4 linked regions of the Arabidopsis thaliana genome follow. The protein of the gene in region 4 interacts with the protein of the main gene of each other region in a pairwise test. Each region holds a gene or a part of one and is shown on either strand. Other genes may lie near its edges.

Evidence for each region.
Region 1: the proteins of CB5-B (region 4) and FAH2 interact in a protein complementation assay, tested with the Arabidopsis thaliana proteins (one study listed by BioGRID).
Region 2: the proteins of CB5-B (region 4) and SUT4 interact in a two-hybrid assay, tested with the Arabidopsis thaliana proteins (one study listed by BioGRID).
Region 3: the proteins of CB5-B (region 4) and BI1 interact in binary tests that used the Arabidopsis thaliana proteins (3 or more experiments, as listed by UniProt).

What each region holds. Positions count from the first base shown.
Region 1 is NC_003075.7:11,173,910-11,178,860, reverse strand, and holds FAH2 (fatty acid hydroxylase 2), read left to right. Parts: upstream 1-1,979; 5' UTR 1,980-2,169; exon of another isoform or gene 2,170-2,458; intron 2,459-2,954; 5' UTR 2,955-2,982; coding exon 2,983-3,033; intron 3,034-3,206; coding exon 3,207-3,299; intron 3,300-3,390; coding exon 3,391-3,587; intron 3,588-3,677; coding exon 3,678-3,783; intron 3,784-3,881; coding exon 3,882-4,028; intron 4,029-4,121; coding exon 4,122-4,241; 3' UTR 4,242-4,411; downstream 4,412-4,951. Other genes in the region: AT4G20860 (FAD-binding Berberine family protein), read right to left, coding at 4,543-4,951. UniProt on the Arabidopsis thaliana protein: Fatty acid 2-hydroxylase involved in the alpha-hydroxylation of the long-chain fatty acid (LCFA) palmitic acid. Probably involved in the resistance response to oxidative stress.
Region 2 is NC_003070.9:3,242,231-3,247,735, reverse strand, and holds SUT4 (sucrose transporter 4), read right to left. Parts: upstream 3,751-5,505; 5' UTR 3,479-3,750; coding exon 2,941-3,478; intron 2,578-2,940; coding exon 1,850-2,577; intron 1,714-1,849; coding exon 1,650-1,713; intron 1,522-1,649; coding exon 1,478-1,521; intron 1,177-1,477; coding exon 1,018-1,176; 3' UTR 995-1,017; intron 909-994; 3' UTR 520-908; downstream 1-519. UniProt on the Arabidopsis thaliana protein: Responsible for the transport of sucrose into the cell, with the concomitant uptake of protons (symport system). Can also transport maltose at a lesser rate. May also transport biotin.
Region 3 is NC_003076.8:19,134,375-19,138,535, reverse strand, and holds BI1 (BAX inhibitor 1), read right to left. Parts: upstream 2,585-4,161; 5' UTR 2,466-2,584; coding exon 2,352-2,465; intron 1,955-2,351; coding exon 1,811-1,954; intron 1,713-1,810; coding exon 1,621-1,712; intron 1,521-1,620; coding exon 1,334-1,520; intron 1,242-1,333; coding exon 1,086-1,241; intron 1,002-1,085; coding exon 951-1,001; 3' UTR 511-950; downstream 1-510. Other genes in the region: LIL3:2 (Chlorophyll A-B binding family protein), read left to right, coding at 3,298-3,682, 3,841-3,978, 4,065-4,161. UniProt on the Arabidopsis thaliana protein: Suppressor of apoptosis. Modulator of endoplasmic reticulum stress-mediated programmed cell death. Involved in methyl jasmonate-induced leaf senescence through regulating cytoplasmic calcium level.
Region 4 is NC_003071.7:13,875,297-13,880,253, forward strand, and holds CB5-B (cytochrome B5), read right to left. Parts: upstream 3,415-4,957; 5' UTR 3,152-3,414; coding exon 3,065-3,151; intron 3,063-3,064; exon of another isoform or gene 2,461-3,062; coding exon of another isoform or gene 2,374-2,460; intron 2,117-2,373; coding exon 2,050-2,116; intron 1,968-2,049; coding exon 1,717-1,967; 3' UTR 516-1,716; downstream 1-515. Other genes in the region: AT2G32710 (Cyclin-dependent kinase inhibitor family protein), read left to right, coding at 1-54; AT2G32730 (26S proteasome regulatory complex, non-ATPase subcomplex, Rpn2/Psmd1 subunit), read left to right, coding at 4,893-4,957. UniProt on the Arabidopsis thaliana protein: Membrane bound hemoprotein which function as an electron carrier for several membrane bound oxygenases, including fatty acid desaturases.

The sequences.
Region 1 (4,951 bases), on a different chromosome or scaffold from region 4:
CGTATGTCTCGGATTTGTCATCGTGCGGCTTTTAGCATTTCTTTTTGACAATTCTAAATCAACTTTCGAAATTGGATCCAATTCCGATTGAAGAAACTTTTAAAAAGAGGATGTAGAAACATTGGTATTCATTTGTAGGTGGTTTGCAAATGATGCATCACATTTTTCAATATTCAAGTTCATCTTAATTAGAAGAAAAAAACAAAACGTTTATGTCAAAGTTGCATTAGCATGAGTGCATGACTATTCTAAAAAGATTGCATGTAACAAAATTAAACAACAAATTTGGAGCTTATGTTAAGAAGACTACATATTCCATGGGGAATCGAATCTAAGACAAGTATCTTAGTTGTGGACTATTTAGAAGACAAAAACAAAGTCTTTTTGTTGTTAAAGTGTTTGAAATAAGTAATGTTGTATATGAAAGAATGATTAATATTTCAACCTAATTGAAATTTTGAAACTCTCAAAGTGCATAATGAAAACTATTATTTATATAGTGGAAAGCCTCATTGCTATATCATGGCTATCATTAAGGTTTTTGGCCATGTCTAATTACTTTTATATGAATAGTTCCCAACAGATGTAAAGGGGCTAATATCTATTCTAGATGCGTGTCCATATATGTATTAATTTGTTGATATAAAGTAATAAAACAACACATCACATCCATATCTACATCATTCATATGTATTAAGCATTTTTATTGTAAGAAGGTACTATTGAATTTTTATTTATGACTTCATTGTTAGCTAAATAAAATATATATATCTCCCTTTCCTTTTATGTGTTCAGAAAAATATTAAAATCTTCAATTTTAATTTAAGATATCAGAATCTAATTATCTATAATGGATGTTTGATTATTTTCTTTATGAACAATGAGAAATGTTACAAACAATAATTTTGTTATTAATTTTTTTTTTCAACAAACAATAATTTCATTAGTAAATTTCTCATATTATACCATTTTGTAAATCTACAATTCTATTTTTGTTAGTTTTATTATTGATTTAAAACTTATGCATAACTTTATCATTTGTGTATCTATCTATCCGGATTAGTATTACGGTATTACCACAACAAACACGTCGAAATTGATATTTACTTTGTCCTTGGTTAAGCTAAGGTTCTTCACTTCCTTTTAGCTCCCCATTACATTTACATCTTCACCTTAGGTATTTCTATCTCTCTTTTCTAAGATTTTAACACCAGCCCAACATTCTAACATTACTCTACTCCGAAAAAGAATGTTAGATTCTTATTTATTTATAAGATCAAATATGTAGATATACAATTTTAGTATAGATCTCACTTATAGCAGCTAGAGAGATGAGTAATAAGAATTATCTGCAGAATTTATTCATCTAGTCTTTGGTTGGTGATACTTAAGCAAAAGTCCCTTACTCATAGACTCATAGTCATAGGCGCATAGACGCATAGTAGTAGTCATATTAGACCCATACTCCCTAGAGAAGAGAAAAACCATTCTCTGAAAGTGACAAGAGATAACTTCATATTATCAATGGACCGACCAACCATCTGATCAATGTTGGCTAGCCATACATTCTTGTTTTTATTTTCCATTTCCAAATCAAAAAGCGGATCTGTGTCTGTGATTTATGCTGAAGAGGCTTTTAGAAAATTAGAAAAAAAATGTAATTTTTGTTTTCCAAAATTTAAACATCTTTTAATAGCAAAACAATTTATATTTGTCTACATATACATGGCGTGTTACTCTAGAAACAACACAAATTTAGAAAATACTATTTTTTTTATTCTCATTTAGAAAAAACTATTTTAATTTTGCAACTTTTTAGAAATAGTAAATAAAATATTATTTTAATTCAGAAAAAGATATGAGATTTTTATTTCTCTACAAAAACTATTTTTAGTTTTGCAAAAATAGCAAATAAAATATTGTTTATACAAAATAAAAGATATGACCTTATACAAATAATATTTTAATGGCTAAAACAGAACAAAAAAAAAAAGGTAGGAAACGTGGGCCGAACATTATCAGAAGGATTCAAGCGAAGCAAAATCCCACCCTTTCTTCTGTGACAGAGTGTCTGTATTTGTTGTTTCCCTTCAATTGGAGAGAGTAAGCGAGTCTCTTACGCCCAGAGAGAGAGAGAGAGAGAGGCTTGTTTGTTTTCTCTCCTCTAAGGTAAAATAATCCTCAGATCTCTGAGTCTCATTCTCTTCAAATTCTTCCGATTTCTTCTCTCAGATTCTATGTTTTTCTCATTATCTCTTCCCCGATTTATAGATCTTTTCTGCAAAAAGTTCGGGATTTTTTTTCGTGAATTTCGAAGAATGTTGGCTTTTTTCTTCGTCTAAGTTTCTTTTTCTCTCGTGGGATTTGATGATTTGATGTTTTAATTTGATTCATAGCTGAAAGTTTTGTTCTTTAATACATTGTCAAGGTTCTCTTCGTTGATTGGCTCTGTCTTTAGGTAATGCTGAGAATGTTATAATCTTATAATGTCTCCCTTATGTTGGATCATTGACCCTTGATTAGATTTCTTCTTTGGATGTGTTCTCTTTTGCAAATCGAGCTTTACCAAATCCTCAGATGCCAAATGCAGTCTTTTAGTTTTAGATTGCCTTTAAAGCAATAGATTTCCTAGTAATTGACATTGAATTTTTCAGTTTGGATGATCAACAGATTTATGTTCTTGTCAGATGAAGATGTTGTCATTTTTTTTCTATTGATATTTGTATTTGAATGAGTACTGTTTCATATGAGCAGAATTTTGCAGCACAGTAGGATTATCTTTTTATTGTTTTGGGATCAATTTGGTTGGAATTTCTTTTATGAGCTAGCTAGAACTTAAATCTTCTAACACTATCGTGAATTTTGTTTCACCTTTAATGATATATTGTTCATTCTCAATGTTTGTTTCTCAACAGTACTGCATTTAAGATTTTTGGTTTTGGATTTACTTGCAGAAACAATCAGTCTCATAAAGTGGCAAAGATGGTTGCAGAACGATACACAGTCGATTTGAATAAGCCACTTGTGTTTCAGGTGATGCGCTCAGTCACGTCTTTTCCGCATAGCCTTTTTTTAACAAATTAGATCGACAAGACAAAGTATCAAATGGAGAATTCTCTGTCAATCTTTAAAGCTGTTTCGTAGATTCTTTGATATATACAATGCATAACAAATTACTAATACAAAGAAACTTATATCCTTGTCAGGTTGGTCATCTTGGCGAAGAATATCAGGAATGGATTCATCAACCTATTGTATGCGTTGAGGGTCCTCGTTTTTTCGAAAGTGATTTTTGGGAGGTAACATAACAACTCTGCCTTTTTAAGATTTATCTTCATATATGTAAGCCTCTATGTTTGGCTTAAACCTTTTTTTGGGAAATTTGAGCAGTTTTTGACTCGCACGGTTTGGTGGGCAATCCCAACAATCTGGCTTCCAGTTGTTTGCTACGTTCTTTCAATATCGGCGAGTAAGGGACTTACGTTTCCCCAGATCGGTTTAATAGTTGCTTTTGGTGTACTCACGTGGACACTGCTCGAGTACACGCTTCATCGCTTCCTTTTCCACATCCAAACCAAGAGTTACTGGTTAGTTCTGTATTTGTGATTATGCAACATAGAAACACCCGATTTCATCACGAAGCTTATCTGTTTCATTTCAAACCCTTTTTTCTTCAGGGCAAACACTGCACACTATCTTCTTCATGGATGCCATCACAAGCACCCACAAGACGGCCTTCGTCTTGTTTTCCCTCCTACAGCAACAGCTATTCTCTTGGTTCCAGTAAGTATCCATGCTTGATCCAGATATGGAATCTCTTTCATTCATTCTTTACTTCAATACGAAAACTTTTATTGATGCTCTTCTTTTTCCGTTGTTAGCTATGGAAGCTTCTCCATCTCCTAGCTACTCCTGCTACAGCACCTGCTATTCTTGGAGGCATATTGTTTGGCTATGTGATGTATGATATTACCCATTACTATCTACACCATGGTCAACCTAAAGAACCAACCTTTAAACATCTTAAGGTAAGGAAAACCATCTCTAGACATCTCCTCTTTTTTCGCGTTCAAACTTATTCCTCTGCATTTCTGATGAGGTTTGATATATACATTTTACAGAAATACCACCTGAATCATCACTTTAGGATTCAGGACAAAGGATATGGAATCACTTCCTCTCTATGGGACAAAGTCTTTGGAACACTTCCCGGTATTAAAGCCGCTGCGAAGAAGAGCTAAATCGGATTTCTGTTTGCCATTTTTCAGAGTGTCGAAAAACTCACTGATATTGTGTATTCTAAATTCATCAGGTGATTCAATGACTGTTTAACTACTTCTGTATACGATCTATTCACCATATTTGAACATATTTTTAGTGGTTTAATATCATTCAGAATTTGGTCTTTGAATTGACTATTCTCGGTCCGCTTAAACCGTATTGGGTACATCTCACTTTTACAATTGTAGCAGAAAGTTACATTATCTATTATAATTGAAAAAATGAAATGACATCTTTTATATCTGGTTTTGTATTGAGGACTCAAAACAGAGGAGGAATACTCTGTTCGTTCCTGAAGAAATTTGTTGGATCAATCTTCCCTTTAACCAAACCTAATCTCTTGAAATTACCTTTGAAATAAGTCTCACCCCATTTCCTTGCATCTTCGAAACTCGTGTTAATCCCTTTGGTCGAGCCCAAATCAAGATCTCTGTAATTCAAATAAGCTCCTCTCGGCGATTTAGAAACATACGGAGTCATGTAATCGTGTAACGATCTCATCCACCTGACATGTTTGTTCATCTCCTCGACTTCATTCACTTTCCATTTCACCATGTACTGTATATTATACAGATTACCTCTTCTGTGTGGATATGGAGATTCTGTTTCTGAAATCTTGCTGATTTTCCCACCCAATGGCTCAAAGATCATCAGTGGAGTATCTTGCTCG
Region 2 (5,505 bases), on a different chromosome or scaffold from region 4:
AGGATAAGTATTGCTCAAGCTGTATTAGCATCTACTTATTTCTCTCAATTATTGATACGCTGCCTACAGAATCTCAATAGCATTACAGTAATTTCAATCTCAAACATCTCACTCAAGAAGAAAACTGGGATTTGCTACTATTCCTTCCTACTAGGCTTAGAGCACTTCCAATGGTTTATCTTAGGTGTATCTTAGAATAATATTTTAGAATTAAACTTTGAAAATTAAATCAAAATAAATTAAAAACTAAGATTTGCTTCTTAGCTAAGAAGTTTTCATGAGTGAAAAAAACAGTTACATGTCATGTTTCAAAATTTTAGTATAAATAATTGTTAAGATGTTTGGTTAAGAACCAATTACTTCTTAACCATTGGAGATGGTCTTAATATTCCCAAGAGTCATCCTAATCTATTGCTGACTATTGGTGGTTACTGCTACTATAGAGACTACTAGTACTCGTAATGGTTCCTTTCTACTTTTGCTACACAGATCATGTAAATTTTTTGGATCTCAGGTTTTCTTTATCAAACTAATTCTAAAGAAAATGAACTTTATAAACAGTTACAGAACTCAGGGGCCCTTACAAACACTCTGTTGTACACAGGTTTTTACATTAATTTACAACAACAACAAAAAAAACAGAGAAGATCCCGAACTGGAACTTCCAATAAAGGAGAGATGCATATACCTCACAAACTGAATGATGTATTATTTTCATTGGTTCTATGGTGCCTCGTGTATACAAGGATCATAGTCCCCAAAGTAGAGGGGATTAAGTCCTAGTAGCTGCAAATAAGTTAGTCACACGAGAAGCCATTGCACGAATTTTCGACAAGGATCACATTAAGTGTTCCATCTCCTTGCCATTTCCAAGCACTCCCCTTATGCGTTCCTCGCTTGACACTCATCTATTTCGCATTAGCCGCTTTTAATAATCAGTGACAACTTAAGTGCTTACTATGTACTTTTTGTGAAAGAATTGTGACATTATTACCTTATATAACAAAAGAGAGAATCTCATGGGAGAGGGATGGGCTTCTGAATCCTTGTCCGTGGAAGAGCCAAGATAGCTACAATTCCGCCAATGAAGCCTGTAGCTGCTCCTACTGCAAGTGCCGGTGAATTCCCACCTCCAAACAGTTGATCCCATGGGCCACTGCCAACAGACACAATTACCTGCAAACACATAAATGATTGAACAACAGAATTTGAGTTTGATGCCAAAAACCATAACCAACATAGGGAAGAAATTCATCAATCAACTAATATAGAGAAATAAAAAGTGTACTTTCATCACTGGCCAATGACCATAACTAAAAAAACGAATCGTTTATTAATGACAATTGACAAATAATGCAGTAACTCTGCTGCATGTTATGCTTATAGACTTCCTTTTACAGGCAGAAACATTCAAAGAAGAATATGATTTTGAGTTGCGGCAAATATAATGCTAAAAGGATGGTTGAAAGAAGTGTACCTGTGGGATGACTATCGCCAAATTTAGCACACCCAAAGATAAGCCTGCCACAACAGAACTTTTATAAGAAACAACACTCATATGTAGAGTAAAATCATTGAGCAGAACTTTTCTAAGAAACAACACAACAGAACTTTTATAAGAAACAACACCCAAAGATAAGCCTGCACACCTTGACCTAAGCCCAGGGATTCAATACGTATGGAAATCAACGCATATGGGACGCTGTAAGTTATCTGCAGAAGAGTAGCAATAGCATTAGTTACAGCGAAAGCGTAAATAAATTTCATCATGTTGTTACAGATGAGCAGGCAAAATATCATAAGTAATAGTGTAAGTAACATGACAGCAGAATTACAGGAGTAAACTTACCGCCAATGGAATGCCCAGAATTGTAAAGATTAACACAGCAGCAAACACGATGCTGGCAGGAGGTTGTTCATGGCCAATGTAGCCAAGGTGAGACGCAACAAATGAGGTGATTATCATTCCAAGAAAGCAAATAGCCATTAAGATATTTGATATTCCCCAAACAAAACCAGCCCCCCACTTTCTGCAAAGTTTCTCCATGAGCACAGAAGTGATTCCAAGAAAAACAGAATTCAACATCAAACCAAGTGCACCCATACTGACCCCAGCACTATATGAAGTCCCTATGTTCGGTTCACCGCCATAGATCTCTCGACCCATCCAATCAGTATCAAACAGAATAAATGGAAACCAACCAATCCATGTCAATGCTGTAACAAGCAAGATTATCCAAACATTTCCTGGAAAATATCTGAAAGTTCCAAATATCTCAGAAAGAAAAGCTTCGTCTGTTCCACTGGTTTGCCCATGTGCTTCAGAAGCCAATGAAGCAAGTGGCACCTCATGAGCCGCTGAGACGCTTAGGATCGTAGTTATTGCAATAAAGACAACATCTATGTAGAAGGCAGACTTGAGATTGGCACATTCCACATTACATGCAACTGTCTTCGTAAAAGTGAAGATCTTGTACCAACCATTGTATGATCCAGTAGCATAGCCAAGAACATTGCCAACAGCCATAAAGAGAGAGAAGTAGCCATTTGCAACTCGGGTTCTGCGATTATCATTCTCTGAAAATAAAGCAATAGGACAAGAATTAAAACACAACATATCTTTGTTTTCACTCCATGAGGTTATCACACAATCGTAGGCTACGATTAACTTCACCAAAATCCACAATTTGATTCAAGGGAAAGAGAAAAAACAAAGTCTCTGTGACTCAACGATAAGCCACCGACCAGAAACAAAGAAGGGACCTTTTGATTGTTAGGAACCAATTAGGTAATTATATAACCCCAAATTGTATCCAAAATCACAAATTTATGCATTTTCATGTTTTGCATGTGAGTGTATAATCACGAGAATCCCAAATTTACTACATTTGAATGATTTCAAATTGAAGACCCAATCAACACTAAAGTCAGGAACTTTACCAGTAAGATCAGCAAGGAGAGCTCTACAAGGACCTTGAGTCATATTATTAGCAACATCAAGAATCCAAAACCCTAAAACAAAAGCAACAATCGCCCTCGGCTTAATCTTCCCTTCTCTATCCCCAAATGCCCATCCAATATCCGCCGCATGACCAATAACCATAACAGAGATAGAAATCGCCACAGCTCCGGCGACAATAAACGGTCTCCGACGACCGTACTTACTAGTACACCTATCGCTACTATGCCCAACGAGCGGTTGCACGAACAAACCAGAGAGAGGACCGCAAAGCCAAATCACACTAGCCCAAGCGTGTGGGATCCCCAGCTCTTGAACGTAAGGTGTGAGGAGAGAAAGCTGAAGAGCCCATCCGAATTGAATCCCGCATGCGACGGAAGCTACACGGAGAAGCACACGCTTCGAAACTTTTGATCTAGGAGGAGATACAACGGGACGAGATGAAGAAGTAGAGGGTCGAGCTATTGGTGGACGGTTGCGAGTGACTCTGTGACGGCGATCTTGATCGGAAGTAGCCATTTCTCGCTTCACAGTCGTCGTGGCGTAGAGAGAGTGAAAAAGCTTAAAGTGGAGAGAAAAAGGTGGCGAAGAAGAAGATGTTGTAAGAATTCCATTGGACTAAAGGAATCTACTTTAGGAAAGTTGAGTGCTTTTTGTAAATTGTTTTAAATTTGTTGGGGAAATTGTGTAAATAATGAAAAGTGGGCACGTTAAAAGAGGGTATATAGTGTAAGGTTTGTTGTTTCTCTATGGATAAAATACATATTTTTGTTGAAACGAAATGATTTTGAGGGAGCATTCGTCATTTTCTGTTGGATCACGGGGCAAAAAGTAAGTTCCACTTACGTAAGCTGGAAGAAGAGACGTTGAGTATTCAATAACACTATCAATATGCAGTTTTGTGTTTGGAACAGAAAAAAATGTCATCTTTATTCAAAGAAAGAAGAGGGGGAAAAAAAAAAAAAAAAAAGAGAGAGAGAAAGAGTGTGCTTACGCAATTTTCAAATACATGTTCATCTACATAGACAATTTTCAAATATTCTCTTAATATGTAATTTGGTTGAGTCCGTTGTTTTAACTAATAAATTACTTAATATGGAAATTAGGTCGAAAGGATTGAGCGATCAAAATTGTTGAAATACGAAAATGACGTTATTGTTTGTTAATCAAGCTTGGGCCAATGTGAGCCGTACACGTGCTGCATGATTCAGGTTATACGGTTTAAACGTATAACACGATGGCGCCAATTTACCAAAACGTACTCTAAAATGGCATCTTTTTTATCTTTACTTATAGTCTTTTAGGCCTAATCATGTTTTAATTAGGGTAGGTGAACTGATTTTTATCTTTGTTTTTGCTCAATAGTTTAGTATGCACTTGATTGGGTTGGAATTCAGTTTTGTACCAACATTTCGTTCCCCTTTTTATGTAGTTGCTCACTCGAATCATGTTTAGGTTTATTATGGCGATATGAAATTGTAAGGTTTTGAATAATTGGACTATTTTTTGCGTTCAATTACTCACCGGGTCAAAATAAAGAAAAACGGATGATTCCACCATCATCTAAGGCAAAATGATTTTATTGCAAAAATAAGAAATTGAGAAATTCTCATTGCAAAAATGGCTTATAGAGAAACAAGAAAGGATGATGGCATGCAACTGAAGGCCCTATCCATTGAAGGAAACTCTTGTGGGCTGAACCAATAAGCTAAATAACCCAAATGAGGAAGAACAAAAACCTAAACATGAAGGCCCGTTTCTCCTTTTAATGATTTTATTCGTATAACCGCCTTAAAAAAAAGATTCAAATGAAAACAAAAATGTTTGATTAAAACTTAAAAGGCCGCAAAAGAAACACGGTTTGTGACGAAAACGTGGCCGCGTAAGCAACGAGTTGAAAAGTATCCGCGTCCGTGCGTTGCATAGCCAACTAATGCCCACCAGCTCCAAACATTTTCCAACTCTCTCTTTTTTTTTTTTTTTTTAGTTTTGCAAAACGTGTTTTCTCAGTTATTTGTCGTCACTTCTTTTCATCTAATTTTTTTGTCAAAAAAATTTGTTGCCTCTTTTATCTTTAAAGCTTGTATTGTTTTTTAATACGTACTTTATTTCTCATACGGTAGTTCTGAGAAAATGGTAAAACTGCCAAGCATTTGCAATTTTTGACGAGGAGGAATTTTAAGTAATAGAGAGAAAAATTCTATTCGTTAAATTCTTACAAGAAAAAAAAATCTTATAAGAAATTATATAATTATCTCATCAGGTTTTTAAATGAATTTGAACTCTCAATAAGGTTTACTCTAACGACTGATTTAAATGAACTTATAGTATCAACGTGCATATTCCAATTTTTTTTTTTTTGACATCTTTTCTTTTTTTGTCCGTTATTAGAGTGATGAAAGAATCTGTTGATTGAAATATGGTTGCTCGATCCCCAAGGTTGAAGTTAGAGAAAGATCTTTTCGAAGGAAGTATGAGACAACTACATGGAAAAGAAAAATCTTAAAATAATGTAGAAATTTTCTTAGTAAAGAAGAAAAGATGGC
Region 3 (4,161 bases), on a different chromosome or scaffold from region 4:
TTTAAAAAATCAAACAAAGAAAAAACAGAGATGTAATTGTTTTATTCAAATATTTTGTTCTCGTTTTTGGCTTCATTTCCTTCTGTTACATCTATTAAGTATTAACAGAACTTCTAGGGGTTGGTTCATGTTTTGCATTTCTGGCCAGTGATTTTTAATTTTCTTTTCTTTTAGATCCTTTTGCAAGTTGCAATCATGTTATCATGGATTGCAAAAGGAGTGTATCAAAAACCCAATTGAAAATGCTACACACGTTAATGTGCTAATCCTAGATTGCCTTGGACCAGAAGTCAGAACATATGCAAGTATATAACTAGTATTGTCTCCATCGTCGGTTTGTCGGATGGATTCAAACTTAAGATCGGGTCATGAGCTCCGAGGTCTAGACTCTATGCAAAACATAACGTCGTTTTTAAAGTGAGAAGGAAAATCTGATGTATATTCCTTGCCATTTGCCGTACCACAACATTCTATTGGGAACAAATTTTGACAAAAAGCTCCAACCAGACGTTTGACAAAAGGCTAAACGCCATTTATTTGCAATTTTCAAATCCACGTTTCACGAGAATGCAGGTTTTTACACACTTATCATGGAAATTGCAAGTTATTTTTCGATTACAACTTCCAAGCAATAGCAAATGTTGCAACTGTGAGAATCTGAAATGCACACATTTTAGAAAATTTAAACAGGATTATCATTTTCCTACATTATTCTTAGCTTGGTAAGATGCAATCAGTAGAACCAAACTCTTAAAGAACAAAAGTTTATGAAAAGAAGAACAACACTCGAGTCATTTACAATCTGAAGATGGTACTTGTGCAGAAGTGAAACAAGCAGATCCTTTTTAGTGGAAACATGTCTGGTCACCAATAGAGAGTGCTAACAAGTAATATCTTCAAAGTGGCCACACACGATAACAACCATAAAGTTAAATTTACTTTACATCCCCTCAGTTTCTCCTTTTCTTCTTCTTCTCTTCTTTATCTGCTGAGTTCTTCAACTGCATAACAAAAGAGTCCGTCAATGACGGTTTACTAACAAATAAAGTGTACCATTTTCTTATACCAGCGACAAATGAACTTACCATTATGATGAGAATCCGAACAAACACAGCTACAAAGTCAGTGAAAAGGGTCAACGAATGTTTTACATAGTCCATGTCACCGAGGTGTGCCTTTTCTATAATCTCTTGTGTGTCCACCACCATGTATCCCACAAAGATCAAAAGTCCAAAGTACAACTGCAACCAGAGACGTATTCATAACAATGGTGAGATGTCTGAGAAAGTAAGACAAAGAACAGATCATTCTAAAACAGAGGCATTCGGTTTACCTCAAACTTAAAGATAGATGCAGAGCCACCAAAGATTGAAGAGGCAAACTGGAGCCACATTAGCATAGACAAGCCAGATGAAAGCAGTCCTCCAAGGTAGAGATACTCCCTGCGTCTTGCTAACATTGCTGCTGCTGAGAAACAGACAAACGCTATCGCAGTTCCAACAAATGCAGTGATAAGGATGCTGGAGAACCAAAAGAAAGATATAAAGGTCAGCTCCTAGAATAGTCTAACAGAAAATTAACATTGAACAACAAGAATCAAATTGCATAACCATAACACACCTTGGGTCAACATCAATTGCCACTTTGATCAAGGGGCCAACAGAAGCACCTTCAAGAACAGCAGACACAAACAGAAGAGAAAGCCTTTTTTGCTGCATCAAAACAAACAACAATGTCAGGAAAACGAAACTTTAGTACAATAAGAAAGCAGCCAATTCACTATTGGGTTGGGTAAATCGAGCCCACGTACGTGTTCATAAGGAGGACATGAAAGGAGCCAAATCATAGTTCCAATACATCCAATCGTTGTAAGAATACCGCCGATATTCCAGAGCACATGGAGGTAAGCTCCAAAGGCAGACGCCACAAGAGCACAACATAAGGTCAAATAAACCTACAAAGATTCCACCACAAATAATAAGAACCAATGAGCATTTGTAACATGAGTGAGTATACAAATCACATTCCCTTCTGCAAATGGAACATGACAAATGAACAAGAGGATCTTAACAATAATAAGCAGAGTAAAGTATAACGAAAGATCTCCACAGAATCATAATCAAGTAAGTATCAACAAACTAAATCATGGAAAGACCCAATTAGAAACCCTAGATAAAGTACGATCGCAACGATTCGTTCAACGGAAACCAAATCATAGAAATTAGATGAAATATAGAAACATAGAGCGATCAATAGCACGAAAACGAAACGAATCTCAATCTATCGACTCTAATCTAGACATCGCGGTTTGGTGTGTGATATGAATAGACATCGGCGGCGAAGAAACTTACCCGTTTAAGATGATTCTGAACGGCTGGAGAAATCTGACGGAAGTTTTTAAGAGAATCATAGCTCCAGCTTCTGCTACCAGGTTGAGAATCGAAGAAGGAAGAGAACGCATCCATTGTTTCGTTTTTTTTGCTTGACTTTGAGAATCGATTAATGAAAATATTAGTTAGAAAATAAAGACTTTCGTTATTTATAATGGGCCTTATGATTGGGGACTAAATTGACAATAATACCCTTACTGCTTATGTGTAGTTATTACGCATTCGCTACACGTGTAGGGGCATTAAACACGGAGAAGGGTAGTTCTGGAAACTTCTTGAACGTTGAGATCGTCGTCGTCGTAATGAGTTGAAACTTTGCCGCGAAGCAAATGAAATATCTAAATCGTCATCTAACCAATAAGAATCATCCACGTGGATTTTTCACTTAGTTTACATATTATTGTTTAAGCTTAGGAATAAATTTGTTTTAGTTTTGTGATAAAGTATTTTGGATAACAGTATTTATTAATTTACAAAGACTTTTCTATAATCTTTCTCTATTATTTTCAGTTGCATCAAAAGTTTAACAAACTAATAAAGAAAAGACCAAGGACATTTTCATATCGTCTAGTCAATTCGTAAATCATGGGTCGAGAGTATGGTTAAATGTCAGGTTTTGAATTCTAGTTCTATATGGGCTGATCGCAAAGCCCATTAACAGTCTCGTTTATCTTTCTATTTTTGCTTACAGAAAACATCACGTAGTTTCTTCCTTAAACTGAATTAAAAAAGGAAAACGACATACAATCCAAGTTTCTAACGATAACAACATCTCTTTCACTTCCTTCATAGCTCATTTCAAACCACACATTCAAACTAACTCTGCAAAAAAAAAAAAAACTCAGAGCAGAGGAGATCGAGAGAGACAAAGAGAGAGAGAGAGAGAGAGAGAGATCTTAACAAAAAAATGTCTATATCCATGGCGTTATTCTCTCCGCCGATCTCTTCCTCACTTCAGAACCCTAATCTCATCCCCAAGATCTCAACCTCTCTTCTCTCCACCAAGCGTTTCTCTCTAATCTCCGTCCCTAGAGCTTCCTCCGACAATGGTACGACTTCCCCCGTCGTGGAGATTCCGAAGCCTGCTTCTGTGGCTGTAGAGGAAGTTCCAGTTAAATCTCCAGCCGAAAGCTCCTCCGCTTCTGAAAACGGCGCCGTTGGAGGTGAAGCGACTGATTCGAGTACTGAGACGGTAATCAAATATCAGAATGCGAAGTGGGTTAATGGAACTTGGGATCTGAAACAGTTCGAGAAAGATGGCAAAACTGATTGGGATTCTGTTATCGTTTCTGGTTAGATCCTTTTAAAACTTCAGTTCAGTACAGATTCTTTGAATACTTGATATATGTCTATGCTTTGTTATTAGGAAGATTCTGCTTTGGTTTCTTATAGTGGTGTGTAAGAAGAGGAGTGTTTGTTGTGTAAATGTGTTGATTATGTATTTTTATAGAGGCAAAGAGGAGAAAATGGCTTGAAGATAACCCGGAAACAACGAGTAACGACGAGCTTGTTGTCTTCGATACTTCGATTATTCCATGGTGGGCATGGATGAAGAGATACCATCTACCTGAAGCTGAACTTCTCAATGGTGATTTTCAAAACACTTATGATCTAACACTTAGATATAGTACACTTAACATTTTGTGCATCTAAGTTGTTGTCTTGGTGGTGTAGGTCGTGCTGCGATGATAGGGTTCTTCATGGCTTACTTTGTTGATAGTCTTACCGGAGTAGGACTTGTTGATCAAATGGGAAATTTCTTCTGCAAAAC
Region 4 (4,957 bases):
GTGAACGAACAACCACTACCAGGACGGTTTGAATGGACGAAGGTAGATGATTAGAAACAACAAAAAAATGGGGGGTTAATAGTTAATACAGAATATATTAACATTTTCCTGCTAATTATCGGTTTGATCTTATTACCATCATCCGTTTTCTTAACTTTTTCAACATGTAAAGAGCTTAGGAGAAAAAACCCATGTAGTGTTTTTAAATTGGTGTCTGTAACATAAGTGGCTGAAAAGGGTTTGTGTAACAGAACTTGATACCAATCCTTTTTAAGCCTATACAGATCACCTTAGTAGTAGTACTAAAGCCATAAGAGAAGGTTTTTAGAAGTAACCCAAAGTCTGTTTAGGGTTTAGCGTTTAGGGTTTAGAGTTCTTTCGGTTTAAGGGTCAGTGTTTTCTTTTATGAATTCCGGTACAGGGGGACTCTGCATTCTCTTAAAACTCTTTGTCCTGTAACCATTTTAAAAAATCTATCCTTTTATGTGTATACATGTACTGATCTCAAACTCTTTTCAATAAAGACTTATCCTTCTCTTTTTTGTTCTCTTCATCTTAAGTTCTTGTTCTTATCATCATCATCATTATGGTCCATGTGTTGTGTTCTTCAGACATATAACATCACAATGACAGGTAGGTAATACATGTCTATATATACACAATTGTATACTGATAATAGAGAGACAGAGAAGCTGTTCGTTATGGATATGGATAGTGTCTCATAGTGGTCTTTGTTTTGTCTCTGTCTTCTCACTAAAATCAAAAGTGTTAGAAAAAGATTCTCTTTCTCTTTCTCTTGCTCTTGTGTGAGTCCATTGTACTTTCCACTCTGTGAGATTTGTGCCCACTATATTATCTTAAATATGTAATTCGTACCCACTCACTACATATCATCATCATCATCATCATTATGGTGATCGTCTTTTGATCAATCATCGAAACTTCGTCGCGTCTTTGCTTGTCATAAGATTCGTTTTCTGATTGTATTGATTTGAGTCTACACACGACAACGTTTTGAATGAAACAGTCCATAGTTGTCAACTTGCCACAGAATCCATTCCAATCTTTACTTAAATGAAATTTATTGCTCTCGAAGTTACAAGTATCGAACTTTGTGTCTGCGGTTGCGACTTCTTGCGGCCAAAGCGGTAAAGAGGTACAAAAAGAGGGTCCTACAGTTGCAGAAGAGTTTTTGGATTCTTCGTGTGGATATGTTTTTGTGAGCTCAAGTCACTAACTGCCACACACTCTATCAAGTAACTGCCAAAACAAACGTCTCTTTCTCTTTGGAATTCGTAATCTGTTGTTTTTGTTTCTCCTTTTCTCAAAGTTAATTAAGTGTTCTCTTAAGCATTCAATTAGTAAGATCATGGCCTTGTTTTGATAGTTCCTTGGTTACTTTTCTTCTACAGATCTCAAACAATACTAAACCAGACTTTCAAAACAGATCACTTATTAGTCATAACTTCGGTTTCAGAATCTGAAATATAGATGAGATGTTCATTAGTTGCATAAGGCAAAAACACCAACAAGACTGTTGTTTATATGCAGTTACACCACAATAGATAAGAAATTATCCAAAATACATTCAAACAGCAAAATATGGGAAGAGACAATAACAAAGGGAGAGACTTTCAGATTTGTCTTTTCAAAAGACTTGAATCTTTCTCTCTATATATAAGATATAAGGAAGTAATGCTCAGAAAAAAAAGAAGCCTACCCTGATTTGGTGTAGATACGGATTCCGACTGCTAAACCAAGAATGGCAAGGGGTACGAGGAACTGGAGGAGCTTGATTATGAATTCAGAGGTCTTGTCTTGATTGTAGTGAGGCTGTTTAGGAGGTGTGTATTTGACTTTCTTTGGTATTGTTGTTGGATCAATCTCTCCTACGTAGTACTGCTCCATCATTTCTCTTGCACTCTCGCTGTGACCCACGTCCTCAAAATCATCCGTTGCATCCTTACCTGAAAAGAGAATAAGAATCAAAAACCGATGGATTGATCTCCACTAAGCCGGGAGCATGGTGATAGTTGTGTTTATACAGACCTGTTGAAGACAAGAGAACATCGTCCCCACCTGGATGGTCTTCAAGAAACTTGGTCACATTGTACACCTGCATTTTTTTGCAAATGTGTGAAGTTAGGAGAGGCAAATGAAACCCAATTACAGAACTTCTGAACTTTGAAGATTTCTTGTCAAATCAAGAAGTTTAAAACATGGGAAGATCCACTTCTGAGGCTTATGATTAAAATGTAAGAAACAATGGAGCAACAAAAAGAAAAGTTCTTAGGTTATCGCTTTCTTTGGACTAAACAAGATATGGTGCATATAACTCTAAAAATCAAACAATAGGAATAGAAAGATGAATACTTGAAACAAATTACTGTACCAACAACCAAGTCCAGAGATACATTTGGGATCTTCTGAACTTGATAAAAAGGATTGTTCTGTGTACATAGCAAACTTGTTGCACAGAGGTAAACTCCCAAAAAAAATGAACTTAAGTGACAATATTAATAAGAAACATAAACTACTGATGGAACAACAGACCAAAACATTTAATGTTTCCTACTTTCTTGTGATAATCTACTGATTTCACAAACCAATCAATGAAGAAAACAAAAATCAAGTTCACTATGAAGGGAGGCTCAAGGATGTATCTACAGATTCCTTCACAAGTTAATAATCACAATACAAAAACGATCGATCTTCAGGGCAAACAACTAATCGACAAGTGTCAGTAGTCCATCCCAAGAAAGGTTGATGTCGATCAAACAAACTCTAAAGACAATAAGAACTATTTCTACATTTCTCCATCTTCAATCAAAATTAGAAAATTTTCAGCTGATAAATAGATCAAAAGAGCTAAATCTTCAGCATAAGCTTAATAACTACACCATTTTCTACTCTCTCTACCCATCTAAAGATTTGATCTGATAATTTTAGACTTAGAAATCTGAGACTTCAAAAGCTTAATCTCATGCAAACACCAAAAGGGGAAACTTTGAAGCACGAGATCTCTAATTTCAGAGGTGAGAATAAGGAGAAAGAAGAATGAAACCTTTCCATTGATGACAATCCAACAGTCATGAGCTTGATTATGCTCTGAAACTTCTGAAAGAGTGAAGATCTTTGCTTCGTCTCCCATTGTTTGTTTGATTCTTGTCTACCAGAATTAACCCACCAAAACCTGACTCTGAGACTTAAAGCTCAAAACTTTATACAAGAGTGTGAGAGAGAGTTGTTGAGTTAAAGACCATTTGACGAATCAGTTAAATTCCGGTTTAATTTGGTTCGTTCTCAAAGTAATCGGTTGGTGAGTTTTGGAAGCTTTGAAAACCGGTTTAATGAAAATTGATTTTGAGTTTGTTCTCACATAGTCTGTACCTAATTGCTGCTCTACTGTTTTGGCCTTATGGTATTCATCTGTACGATTTTGAAAACATATGTGCCAATGTTGAACCGATGGGTTAAGTGGTTTGGTAGTAGTTGTTATTTCCGGTTGAGTGGATGGGGTAGGTAGGTAGGCAGTGCAAATGTTGCGGTTGTGCGCTCTAATTCTGCCTTTTTCATTCAAGATCGGTAGGTGAATGATGTGCAATAAATTTTATTATGGTACATATGAATTCTTTTCTCATAAGTAATATTTATGTAGTTTTATATTAGTAGATACAACTACATAAGAAAAATAAATTGCCGCTGCTTCATACCAACTGACCTTATTTATTAGGGACACAAATCTTTTTCTTTCTAAAGCTTATATAAAATGTACATATTATTCAAAATCAATAGATTGACCGGTGAATTTCTGACCTTGTAAACGAAAAGAGGTCTGAGAAGTTTCAAATTTGAACCATCGACAATGAAAAAAATACATTAGCCATGTTCTCTAGAGAAAAACAAGCAGGTTAACCAAAAGATTAGAACCATCATTTTCTTTATGTTTTTTAGTACCAAATAATGTTATTAAAAGAAAAAGTTATACTTTTAGGACCACCAAATCTTTTTCAATACTAAAAATTGTTGCTTTGAAAATATTAAATACAATTTACACATTAAAAAAAACTAATATATATATAATTTTAAAATGAACAATAAATATAAATAACTAAAATCGTGTTTGTTTGTTCATACACTATTTTCATTGAACTTCTGATACGATAAACAGATAACTAAAAAAAAAATTGAATGCATATGTTTTTGAATTACATCTTGAAATGATTTATAAGCTAAATAACTAGATGACTTTGTTACATAATCGAGCTAATGGTCGACCACACCATCATCATAGTTTACGCTTACCATTTCGTGTAATGAGCTGAATCGATTTATGATAATTTTGTTTATAAAATTTGATTAACCGACTGTAAGTTTATTAATTTCTCTATGATGCCTTGCATATCTCTATAAAGCTTTGTATTATGTTCTGAATTGCAACACATTTTATTGATATGATATGATGATAATTTAGCAATTAGGGTATCCTAAAAGCTCCTAAAACTTAAAATTGTATGACCAACCAATTTTGTAAAAGCAATAAGGAGTTTTTGTAAATCTTCAAAATATATTGGATCCATAACTCAATAACACAAAACTTGAGACTAAAATCATAATAAAGCTATACATTCGGGGCAGTTTTTAATATCCTGACTTGTTGGGTAAGTCTCTAAATATTCGTAGTTTGCATCCAAGTCCCTGACTTACTATCTTCTCCCAAATCTCCTTTTATTTTTACTTTCGTCCTATAAACTAAAATAAATAAGGAAAACACTCTTCTTCAAATCCAGTAGAGAGATTCAAGACGAGTCTCATCGAAAGTTCGAATCTTTCGTCATCTGATTAGCTTTCTCTTAGGGTTTATTTCGATTTCGATTTAGTGTTCTCCATCAATGGCGACACCCATGGTTAGTTCCGCTGGAGGATTACTAGCAATGCTCAACGAGCCTCATCCTGT